Linked DNA regions of Tribolium castaneum. The main gene of each other region encodes a partner of the protein of the gene in region 2 in a complex. Links are inferred from orthologs where the notes say so. Each region holds a gene or a part of one and is shown on either strand. Other genes may lie near its edges.

Region 1 (4,774 bases), on a different chromosome or scaffold from region 2:
ACACGATGCTGATAAACGAACCGGCCAAAATCTACCCTTACCACTTGCTTGTGATCACTAATTACAGACTGCCTTCTGATGTCGACAGATGCAATCTTGAGGTAAAATACTTTTTCCGATTTTGTGACCAGATGATTGGAATTTTTTGTAGCGACATCTGTCGGACGCCGAGTTCGAGGCGATTTTCCAAGTCTCGCGGACCGACTTCTACCGACTACCCCAATGGCGCAGGAACGAACTAAAACGTAGAGCTCGCTTGTTTTAAACTCTTCATGTGCTACTAGATGCTGCTTGAGTGCTAAACCACCACGCTAAGGCTGCTATACACTGCGATGTGTAACTGGTTTTCTTTGAGTGTTCCTTGATTCATTTACCGACTGGATCATTCTTCGCCATAGTTTAAGTTGACAAGGTTTCTGCGAAATGTGCTAGAGTAGCTCTTGGTTTCCTTACGGATTATTCCAACTAGATAAAAAACAATATTTTTCTACTGATTTGAACTATTATAATCTGTATTGTATTGGTGAAAAAGAGTATCTTGGAAGATTCAACAATTTTTTAATCATAGGACAAATTGGCTATATTCAGAGATTGATATTTTTTCTATAGGATAAGTGTATAACTAGGTAGTGCTAAGATAGTTGAAAGTTATTTATAAAAACGGCATTTAGATTGCTTTAATTATTGCTTTGGGCTAGTCGTATATTCTTTTGTACATTTGTTAGTGCTGTCAAGGACTTTGTGGTACCTTTTATTTCTGGTATATTGTTTTAAACCCAAATTCATTTTCATGAGTGTTTCTATTGTTACAAATTATTTATTTATTCTCATAAAATAACGATTTTAAAGCTTTAGGTATCTAAGATTTGTTAATAATTGCTCTGATAAATAAAAAACTTTTAAATACGACTTGTTTACTTTTTATAGCCACTCGTTTAAGACATTTTTTACCACCACCCATAATATTAAATGGGCAAACGCCTGAAATTTTGACACATCGACTTGAATTATTTTTTCACTCCAAAACCGAGACCGATACAAAATTTTTATGTTACAAATTGTTCAAAAGAACTGGGTCTTTCAAATAAAAAAAATTAGACCACTCGATTAACGTGTAACAAAAATATTCATTTTCATAGTTGTTTCAATTGTTACAAATTATATTTATTCTCATAAAATAACGATAACGCTTTAGGTGTCTAAGATTTCTTGTTAATTGATCTGATGAATAAAAAACTTTTAAATATGACTTATTTACTTTTAAAACCACTCGTTCAATACATTTTTTCCTAGACTGATATAATAAAAAAGTGTTATTTGTACCTAATAAAACATTTACATAAAAACCTCAGTTAGCAGATTCACATGCATCTATCCAATCGTTGTACACATCCACAGGCTCTGATAAAAAATTGATAGTAGTTTGGAAGTCTTCAAGACACACTCGGCACGTTATCCTGGCCGTATTTCGACCCTTATCCCTACAAACACACACATTACCCCATAAAACCCAACGGTTTATAAAAACAATCACATTTTAACATCGCACGATTTTTCGTGGTTGCAAAAAGGGCAGTTGAACTGCTGGTCCAGGGGCTCCACAGCTTTGCGTTTCGGCGCCGGTTTTCGCTTCGACTTGCGGCGCCCCATCACAAGACACTAAATTACACACAAAAAAAGTTTTCAACACAAGTTGGCCCCAAAATTTACAAAAAAACCGACCCGACCAAAATAAACAGTTTTTGCGCAAAGTTGACGTGTGACAGTAACACCAACGTGGTGGCAAAAACTGAGACAATTTGAGCGTAATTGCGAGCTTAATTAATATCACCGGGTATTAAGTTCCGACCGTGTTCACGATTCAGTCTTGAGGAATGCGCTAAAGTTTTATAAGGGGCTCAAATGAATTATTTTTATTTAGCGTAACAATTTGTTATGTTGGTGCCTCTGTCATTGGTGTGATATAACCACACATTTGTTGCAAAGTTTTGTGACATATTTTTGTGTGTTTTTGCAAGAATGTTTCAGCCCGAGTTCCAGGCCGTGGTCCTGGCGGCCGGCCGGGGCTCCCGCATGCCCGAGATCACCTCCGGCAAGCCCAAGTGTCTGCTGCCCGTGGGGACGAAGCCCCTCGTTTGGTACCCCTTGTACAAGCTGCAGCAGTCCGGTTTCACAGGTACGTGCGCTGGCCGTTCGAAATCTCATAATTACCAGACTTTTAGACGTAATTCTTGTCGTGTTAGAGAATCACAAAAGCGAGATTCAGGCCACGCTTGACAAAAGCGAGCTTGAGATCAAAATCGACTACTTCCCCGTTAGCGGGAAGGAGGACTTAGGCACCGCCGACTCCCTCAGACTCCTCCATGACCGGCTAAAGTCCGACGTTCTTGTAATTTCGTGCGACTTTATCACTGATTTTAGCCTAAAAGGCGTTTTGGACGTGTTCCGAATGCACGATGCCTCGGTCGCGTCTTTGTTCTTCCACCCTCACGGGGGCGAATTAACAATCCCGGGCCCCAAGTCCAAACACAAGCCGGAGCGCGATTTGGTCGGGATTGACGCGCAAACAAACCGTTTGGTGTTTTTAGCGTCCGCGAGCGATTTCGAGAGCGAATTATCGCTACCGCGCTCTTTGCTCAAGAAACACACTCATGTTAAAATGTACAGCAATTTGGTCGACTCGCACGTGTACGTTTTGAAAAACTGGGTGGTCAAATATTTGAACAGCCAGCCGAACTTTACAACAATCAAGGGCGAGCTCTTGCCCCACATTGTCAAAAAACAGCTCTCCAAGCCCCCGAAAGGGGCCGAGGGCAAGTCAATAGTCAGTAAATGCGACAGCGAGGACATTTTTAATTACGCGAAAGAGGACCCTTTCAGTATTATTATAAGGGAGTCCTCGTCCTACAACGACCATATCGGTGACTCCAAACCCACGTATCACGGTGATAGCATCCGGTGCTACGCCTTGATAGCCCCCCGAGACTCGTTCGGGGTGCGAGTCAACACTTTAGCGACGTACTGGGCCGTTAATAGCAAAGTACGTGGTAGTTCGCCCGTTGTGAGCCCCCTTGAGAGTGTGCGTTGCAGGTCAGCGAAAGGTGGGACAAAATCACAAATGGGCTAAGCCTCGTCCTCAGACACCCCAAAAGTGAGATTAAATCGAGCCAAGTGGACGATAAGTGTGTTGTTTGGGAGGGAGCCAAACTGCACGAGAAAACCTCGTTTAAGAACTCGGTTATTGGGGCTAACAGTGAAGTTTGCAGTTTTTCGAGGGTTTTTAATTGCATTGTTATGAATAATGTGACGATTAAGGAGAAGTGAGTGGGTTTCCATTGTGTGGCCTGTGTGGCAATTGTGTTTCAGGGTGGCGTTGGAGAATTGTATAGTTTCGGATGGAGTGACGATCGAGAAGGGGTGTCAGATTAAGGGCTGCTTGATCGGCAGTCACCACTTAGTGCCCGAAAATTCGGAACATAGTCAAGAGGTGCTCACGGATTCGGACCGCTTGATGGAATTCTAATTTTTATTTTTGTACATAATTTACGAATAAAATACAAATGTGAACTACTTGGTTTTTTTCGGTTTCGTAAGCAAAAAATCGTCTATTTGCTAATTGATTCTGTGGTTAAAATTTGGCAAATAGCAGGCGAAAAGTGCTAAAATATTCGGCAAGTTTTTACGATGTCTATTTAGCGAAATTCTCGAAATCCATTCGGGTAAAGTTAATTTTGGGTTTTACGTATGTTGATGGTCGGCAAAGTTCATAAATGCGTCATCGAATTCTGGAAATATCTGCATTTGCTTTCGATCGATATTAAAGGAGCTAATATTCGAGATTTTGTGTTCGGTGAAATGGAATCCTTTACGTATTCACTTTTTTGCACAAAAAATAAGACGATAAGAGTTTGCAAATTTTCCTCAATCTTAGTACAAAAAATGAAGAACACGCTTAATTAACGACCTGAGTTGCGAATAGAAACGGTGACGGTGCAGTAGTTGCCAAAAATAAGTACTTTTTCACATTTTCAAAATATTTATAAAGGTCCGTTTTGGAGAAATTATTGGAAGAAAATATAATTTAATTAAAAAAAAGTGTAAGTCAGAAAATAGTAAAATAAATACGAGTGCATAGTACTAAGAATATTAATTTATTATGCTAATAACTCGAATACTAATACTAATAGAAAAAAAAATAAAAATAATATATGTTTGAAAGAGGTTCAAACTATAATTTTTTGTTCATGGATGTAGACAATTAATTTACTCGCATGGATTATTACAAATCCTTGTTTCTCACTAGCAAGTTGATAAAAACAAATCAAGAATTATTTCTAAAATACTTGCAGAACTTAAATTATACTTCTGAAAATTAAAGCTTTTACGAAAATTTAAAATTATTACTTATTACTTATTACTTATGGTACAATGTGAATAACGACGAATTTATGCACTTAAAAAAAGTTTAGTTTTTGAGTGGATAAAATTTTTGTATTTACATAAATTATACGTACAACATTTTTTACAATTCCTATTAATAAAAATGACACCCGCCTGGATTAAAGTTTAATTCTGTTTCTGTAAATAGATCATGAACATTATTAAAACAATAGTTTTGGCAAAAGTTAGAGAAAAATGAAACAAAACAATGAATACAATGTTAATTTTTTTATTTTGTGCGTGCTGTAAATAACAGTGTGAATAAAAGTTTTGCTGTAAACATTCAATTCATTCTTTCGATTCATTTTATTTGTCCTTTTGATTAAATTATTGT
Region 2 (5,279 bases):
ATTTTTTTGTTGTCATTTAGTACGACTTTGTCGCCTGTTACGACACCGTTTTTCAAGTTGTGGGCTTTCAAAGCCGGAGGTTGTAACGGGTAAATCCATTTGTTTTGTAGTTCGTGGCTAAAAATTTATTGCTGTACGTCAACAATTACGAATTACACAGAAATCAGCTTTTGGTATTATTAAACACTTTATAGGATTATAGGACAAAGTGAGTTGAAAATAACGCATAAAATTTACATCTCTGTTATGGGTCAGTTTCAAAAAAAAAAATCAATTTTGACACCATAGCAACATTTATGATGTCATTGGTTTTTGAGTAATGACGTCAATTTTATTTATTTTTAATAGTAAGAAATAATACAGCCATTCCAGAAAAAATACAAACTGACACCGAAATTTCCAAAATAATTTTAGTATTTAAAGCTTCTTTCAAAATACACGATTCGATTTATATTTATGTATTTTGCGACGAGAGTTTTTTTGTTATGGATTTAAAATGGGAGAGGATAATAATATAAATTGAAGTAATTCAGTGGGTTCTAAAATTTACATACCTTGTAGGCGATAACATAAAATACTGTTGACAGCTGAAGTACAACAACAGTTGTGAATAATTTTTGAGTGTTTTTCTAGTTTCTGGAAGTTTAGAAAATGAAAATCGGTAAGTAAATTGAATAGTAATATTACTTTTATATCTTCGTATATTTTGATGTCTCGTTCATTATTAGAAGCATATAAATGTTCTTATTTCTTACGTCGTTAAACAAAACCAATAATTTTTAATTTCCACTGTGTAACTTTGATATTGTTGAAGTTTTTAATAATTAAAACCTGCCTGAATAATTTTTTTAGAGCTATTTTTACACACATGATTCTTTTGTTGCGTCCGTCATGTGTAAACAGAAAGTAAATTAATCAGAAGTCGTTACCTTGTATTTCAAATTTCACAAACGTATGAAAGTCACAAACAGTTGGACTGGTACTAAGCTCCTGTAAAGAAAAATTTACTTCTGCTGATAATGTTCATAAAAACTAAAAATAAAATCAAAAAATTTCTGTAGTGTTCCGTACATTAATATGGAATGGCTTAATAAAAAAAATTAAATCTATTTTTTATAATCTCACGCAAAAGGTCTAATATTTTTGCTATTACCTTATTTTGTAAGAGGCGACCGCTTTTATTATTATTTATAATTAACCCTTTTTAACTTCTTTTTTCTTTATTTATTATTTTCTTTTTTTTTGATTTTTTTGTACCTACCAGAAAAATAAAGGAGCATACTATAAAAAACTCAACATAAAAATGTCAGTTCTTATTAAAAAAAACGTAACTTCTCAAAGAATAGTGACGTCATAAATTACGAGGTAAAATGAAAGTGTAGTATTTATAAAAAAACCTGTTTGACGATTTTATTTAATTTTTTTTGAATAAGCCGTAGCAAGGTGTGAAATTTTATGCTTCACCGTAAACTCACTCTGTATGTTTCTCTTTGCATCTGTTTTTTTTTCAGAATTTTCTACAGTTCCTTATAATTAAAATTAATTAATGAATTAAGTCGCACAAAAATATTATTTCTTGTTATTTTAAAGCAAGCAATGCTTAAATGTTATTTTGGGCAAAAAACTGGTAAAAAAATACTACTGATCCCATAATAAACGTATTTAGGTGAGAGCGAATAACATTACAAATCAATTTCAATTAATTAATATTTTTAATTACTAATTAATATTAATCACAAGAAAAATTCTCAAAAAAACACTGCATATTGAACAATATAATTTAAAACCACAGTTAATACCAAATTCTGAATACTGTGCGTCTATTAATTTTTGAAATATAATAGCTGTTTCAGAACTATAAAAACGCCAACTTTGACCGAATTATTTTTTTAAGAAGATTGATAAAATTGTAAAATAGTTATTAATGATTAGATCTCTCATTGAAAGTATAGACTACATTAGCTATTATTCTTTATAAGTACAGAAATAATTTATATTATAACAGCTAATTTTAAGAAAAAATGCGACGTTGGCGTTTTTATAGTTTTAAAACAGCTAGTAGTAAAAAATACTTTTAGCAAATTCGCTCTATTTTAAATACGGAAAACTAAAAGTATGAGGTGAAACGAGTTAGAACGAGCTAACTTGTTTTTCGTTAATTTAAACTTAACGCAAAAATGTGTGAATTTTGGGCATTAATAACTTTTCCAAACGTTTTCCTATTTTTTATTCGAATAATCTAAATCAGCTCGGATGTGGTGAATTAATTACTTTTTTAATACTTTCATACTGCACCTATCACCTCATATTTTAATCCTCTGTATTGAAAAAATACCTTATTGCTTGATACATCCGCCAGTTGGTAATAGCCCCTCCAAAGTGACTGCCTTTCGTCACGTGACAATACACCGTACTCCCGAGGATTTCCTCATTCATTAGTAAACCCTTGACAAAATCGTCTTTAGACTGAAAGTCAAAATTGTCGGAAAAGAGAGGCAAAACTGACGGAGAACAAATTGCAATATGTGTGTCTTTGAGGTTGTGATGTAGCGACACGTTTGAATTTTCCAGAAAAATTTCCTGTAATTATAATTTTTAGAAAAAAAAAAAAAATTTGGACAAGTTAGGACGTACTAAAGGAAATTCAATTTTTCTGTCTCTGCTTTGCCCCAATTTTCTATGAAATAAAACCCGATTGTTATTATTGACAGCAACGACGACTTCTTCGTTCAAGTCGCGCCCCATTTGCCCAATCCCCGCCTCCTGGTAAATTACAGTCATAGCAGCCCCCTTGTCCTTATTAGCAACCTCACTGCAAGCACAAATTATAGGGAAAAGTACCTAACACAAGTCTAACACCTTTACTTATGTTTCTTAACAATTGGCAACAATTTAATATTGGATAAAGTCCCGGGTTCCAACAAAACAAAATTCCCTCTCAAAATCCCCTTCCTGTCCAAATCCCTCAAACAATCGCCAAACGAGTGGCAACTTTCCGATACGATAACATTGACTTTCATCGTGAGACTCCATCCTGCCTTGTCTTTAACACTCTGACTGAAAACACAAGAATTAAGAGAGCACAGACTGGGGCGTATCCCTACTTTATGTGGGCTTTTATAGCGTCTGTGTGTGAACAACAGAACAAAAAGGTCTCTTCTATGCCTCCCAGAGACAGAAACTCCAAAGTATAATCAATCAAAGGTCTGTTAATTAGAGGGAAAAGTGCCTAAAGAAAAAAATCAACGATTGCATCATCTTTCTTTTAGCGTACCAGAGGGATGTCGGACGAAAGTGGCAAAAACTCATCTCCAAAAGTATCAGCAACAACCACGGCTTGAATAATATCGTCTTTGCTCTTAATCGACATTTTTAATTAAAAATTTTGATTTTTTAGGTTAGCACCAGTCACAAACTCGACTGACAACAAGTGACGCAAGAGGGCGCACTTTTTTTAGCGATTTGTTTGCATTTTCGGAGCAGAGCTCGAAACCCTATCGCCTGGTGTTACCAAAATATTTTTCTGCGGCTTTTTCACATTACATTGATCAAAATTCAAAATTTTGGCGATTTGTTAATTACCGACGCCGCCACCAGGGGGCGCGTGATCGGGGGGCTTCCCTAAATAAATATTCCAGTCGTTTTCAGTGATTTATTTACGTAACAGTATTTACATCAATGTAAACATCATGCGTGCGTCTATGTGCGGCCAATTGTCCCGACTGGGTGTACCTATTGCCGCACACCCCGCAAATGTACGGTCTTTCCCCCGTGTGTATCCTCATGTGACACTTAAGGGTCCTCAAGTCGCCAAAAGCCTTGCTACAAACGGCGCAAAAGTGGTTTTTGACCCCCAGATGTGTCCTTTTATGCGCCGCTAAGTTACTCGAAGTGTGGTATTTTTTCGGGCACAAGTCACAACTGTAGGGTTTTTCCCCTAAAAAAACCCGAATTGTTATTAGTCAAACCACAGTTGGGGATTTACCAGTGTGTGACCTCATATGTATCTGTAAATCAGCGGCCCGCCCTGTGCGTTTACCACAAACCGAACACTGGAATTTCTTCTCCCCTGTGTGTGTCCTCATGTGTGCTACTAAAGCACACCGACTGATAAAAGCCTTACTGCAACATTCGCACTTGTAGGGCCGTTCTTGCGTGTGCGTCCTTTTGTGAATCGTTAAGTACGAGGACGTCGCAAAGGCGGCCTTGCACATAGTGCAAGCGTACGGTTTTTCCCCGGTGTGGACCCTTTTATGCGCCTTAAGCACGAAAGAATGTGCGAATTTTTTCCCACAAGTGTTGCATTCGTATTTGCGTTCGCCGGTGTGGATTTTGTTGTGGGCTATGAGCCCGTGTGGGTCTGTAAATCTCTTACCACACTTGTTACAAATAACCGGTTTTTCCCCGGTGTGTGTCCGCATGTGAATCTTGAATGGGCGCGTTATGGGGGAAGTACCGAAGGTGCTACTTACGTTAAGGTGGCCCGGTTCGAAAAACCGCTTCCCGCAGGTGATACACAAGTGTTTGCGTTCGCCGCCATGTGTTCGCATGTGTTTAGTCAAGCTTGACGATAATGCGAATGATTTGTCGCATTTTGAGCAAGAAAAGGGTTTGTAATTGGTGTGGGTGCGCACGTGATGTTTGAATTGTGTAACCACTAGAAAAAATTAATTGGGTTTTTTGTATCAAACGTGATACATTCACTCACGATTAAACTCTTTATTACAAATTTCACACTTCAGTTTTTGGTTTTTTTCGTGTTTTAGTAAATGGGTTTTTAGAGTGGATTCAAGTTTGAAAGAACGCTCGCATTTGGGGCATTTCAGGGGGTCCGTTGTAACTGGATTATCGATTTGCAAGTCGCTATTTACAATTTGGGGCTCATTTATGCTCACTGTTATGATTTTGTCGCGATTGTCTAACACAGAGTCATTCTTGAATTCAATAATAGTGGAAATGTTGTCACCTAATACTGTTACAGTTTTGTACTCGCCGTAAATCTCCGGCGTAGTGTACAGAGCTTTCCTCAGTTGGGACTCTGCCTTCTGGCATTGCTCTTTAAAACTTATAAATAAATTTAAAGTGAAAATGCAGTCGTTACATATAAAACCGGGCAAACCGTCGTCCCTTCTAACCTAAAATTGATTATTTCATTGCCTGTTTATTTCTAAATGGTTGTTTACATTTATTTCAGCTAAATTTGTAAGAATCACATCAAGAGAATTATCAAATAGAGAACACAAATCTTCCTTATTTTTTTCTGAAAGACATGTCCGGCA

What was found. The genes of interacting proteins can lie anywhere in the genome.
Region 1: the proteins of eIF2Bepsilon (region 2) and eIF2Bgamma are in contact, whole or in part, in a cryo-EM structure (PDB 7VLK), measured with the Homo sapiens proteins. The link is inferred for Tribolium castaneum from reciprocal best matches to the Homo sapiens genes EIF2B5 and EIF2B3. Residues at the interface, in NP_003898.2 of Homo sapiens: Pro190, Val202, Arg222, Arg223, Phe224, Ala225, Phe226, Pro227, Leu228, Phe231, Gln232, Ser234, Ser235, Asp236, Gly237, Val238, Glu239, Val240, Arg241, Tyr242, Asp243; in NP_065098.1 of Homo sapiens: Arg155, Phe157, Glu178, Glu179, Leu180, Val181, Ile182, Lys183, Gly184, Leu187, Gln188, Pro191, Arg192, Ile193, Arg194, Phe195, His196, Thr197, Gly198.

The regions. Positions count from the first base shown.
Region 1 is NC_087395.1:21,890,523-21,895,296, forward strand, and holds eIF2Bgamma (translation initiation factor eIF2B subunit gamma), read left to right. Parts: upstream 1-1,880; 5' UTR 1,881-2,019; coding exon 2,020-2,176; intron 2,177-2,222; coding exon 2,223-3,040; intron 3,041-3,090; coding exon 3,091-3,320; intron 3,321-3,366; coding exon 3,367-3,523; 3' UTR 3,524-3,567; downstream 3,568-4,774. Other genes in the region: Unc-115a (actin-binding LIM protein 3), read left to right, coding at 1-101, 152-265; transcription elongation factor 1 homolog, read right to left, coding at 1,349-1,481, 1,535-1,650. UniProt on the Homo sapiens protein: Acts as a component of the translation initiation factor 2B (eIF2B) complex, which catalyzes the exchange of GDP for GTP on the eukaryotic initiation factor 2 (eIF2) complex gamma subunit.
Region 2 is NC_087402.1:10,482,700-10,487,978, reverse strand, and holds the start of eIF2Bepsilon (translation initiation factor eIF2B subunit epsilon), read right to left. Parts: upstream 3,451-5,279; 5' UTR 3,371-3,450; coding exon 3,275-3,370; intron 3,230-3,274; coding exon 3,105-3,229; intron 3,058-3,104; coding exon 2,866-3,057; intron 2,813-2,865; coding exon 2,635-2,812; intron 2,581-2,634; coding exon 2,336-2,580; intron 118-2,335; coding exon 1-117. Other genes in the region: zinc finger protein OZF, read right to left, coding at 3,657-3,937, 3,986-4,657, 4,709-5,135, 5,184-5,279. UniProt on the Homo sapiens protein: Acts as a component of the translation initiation factor 2B (eIF2B) complex, which catalyzes the exchange of GDP for GTP on eukaryotic initiation factor 2 (eIF2) gamma subunit.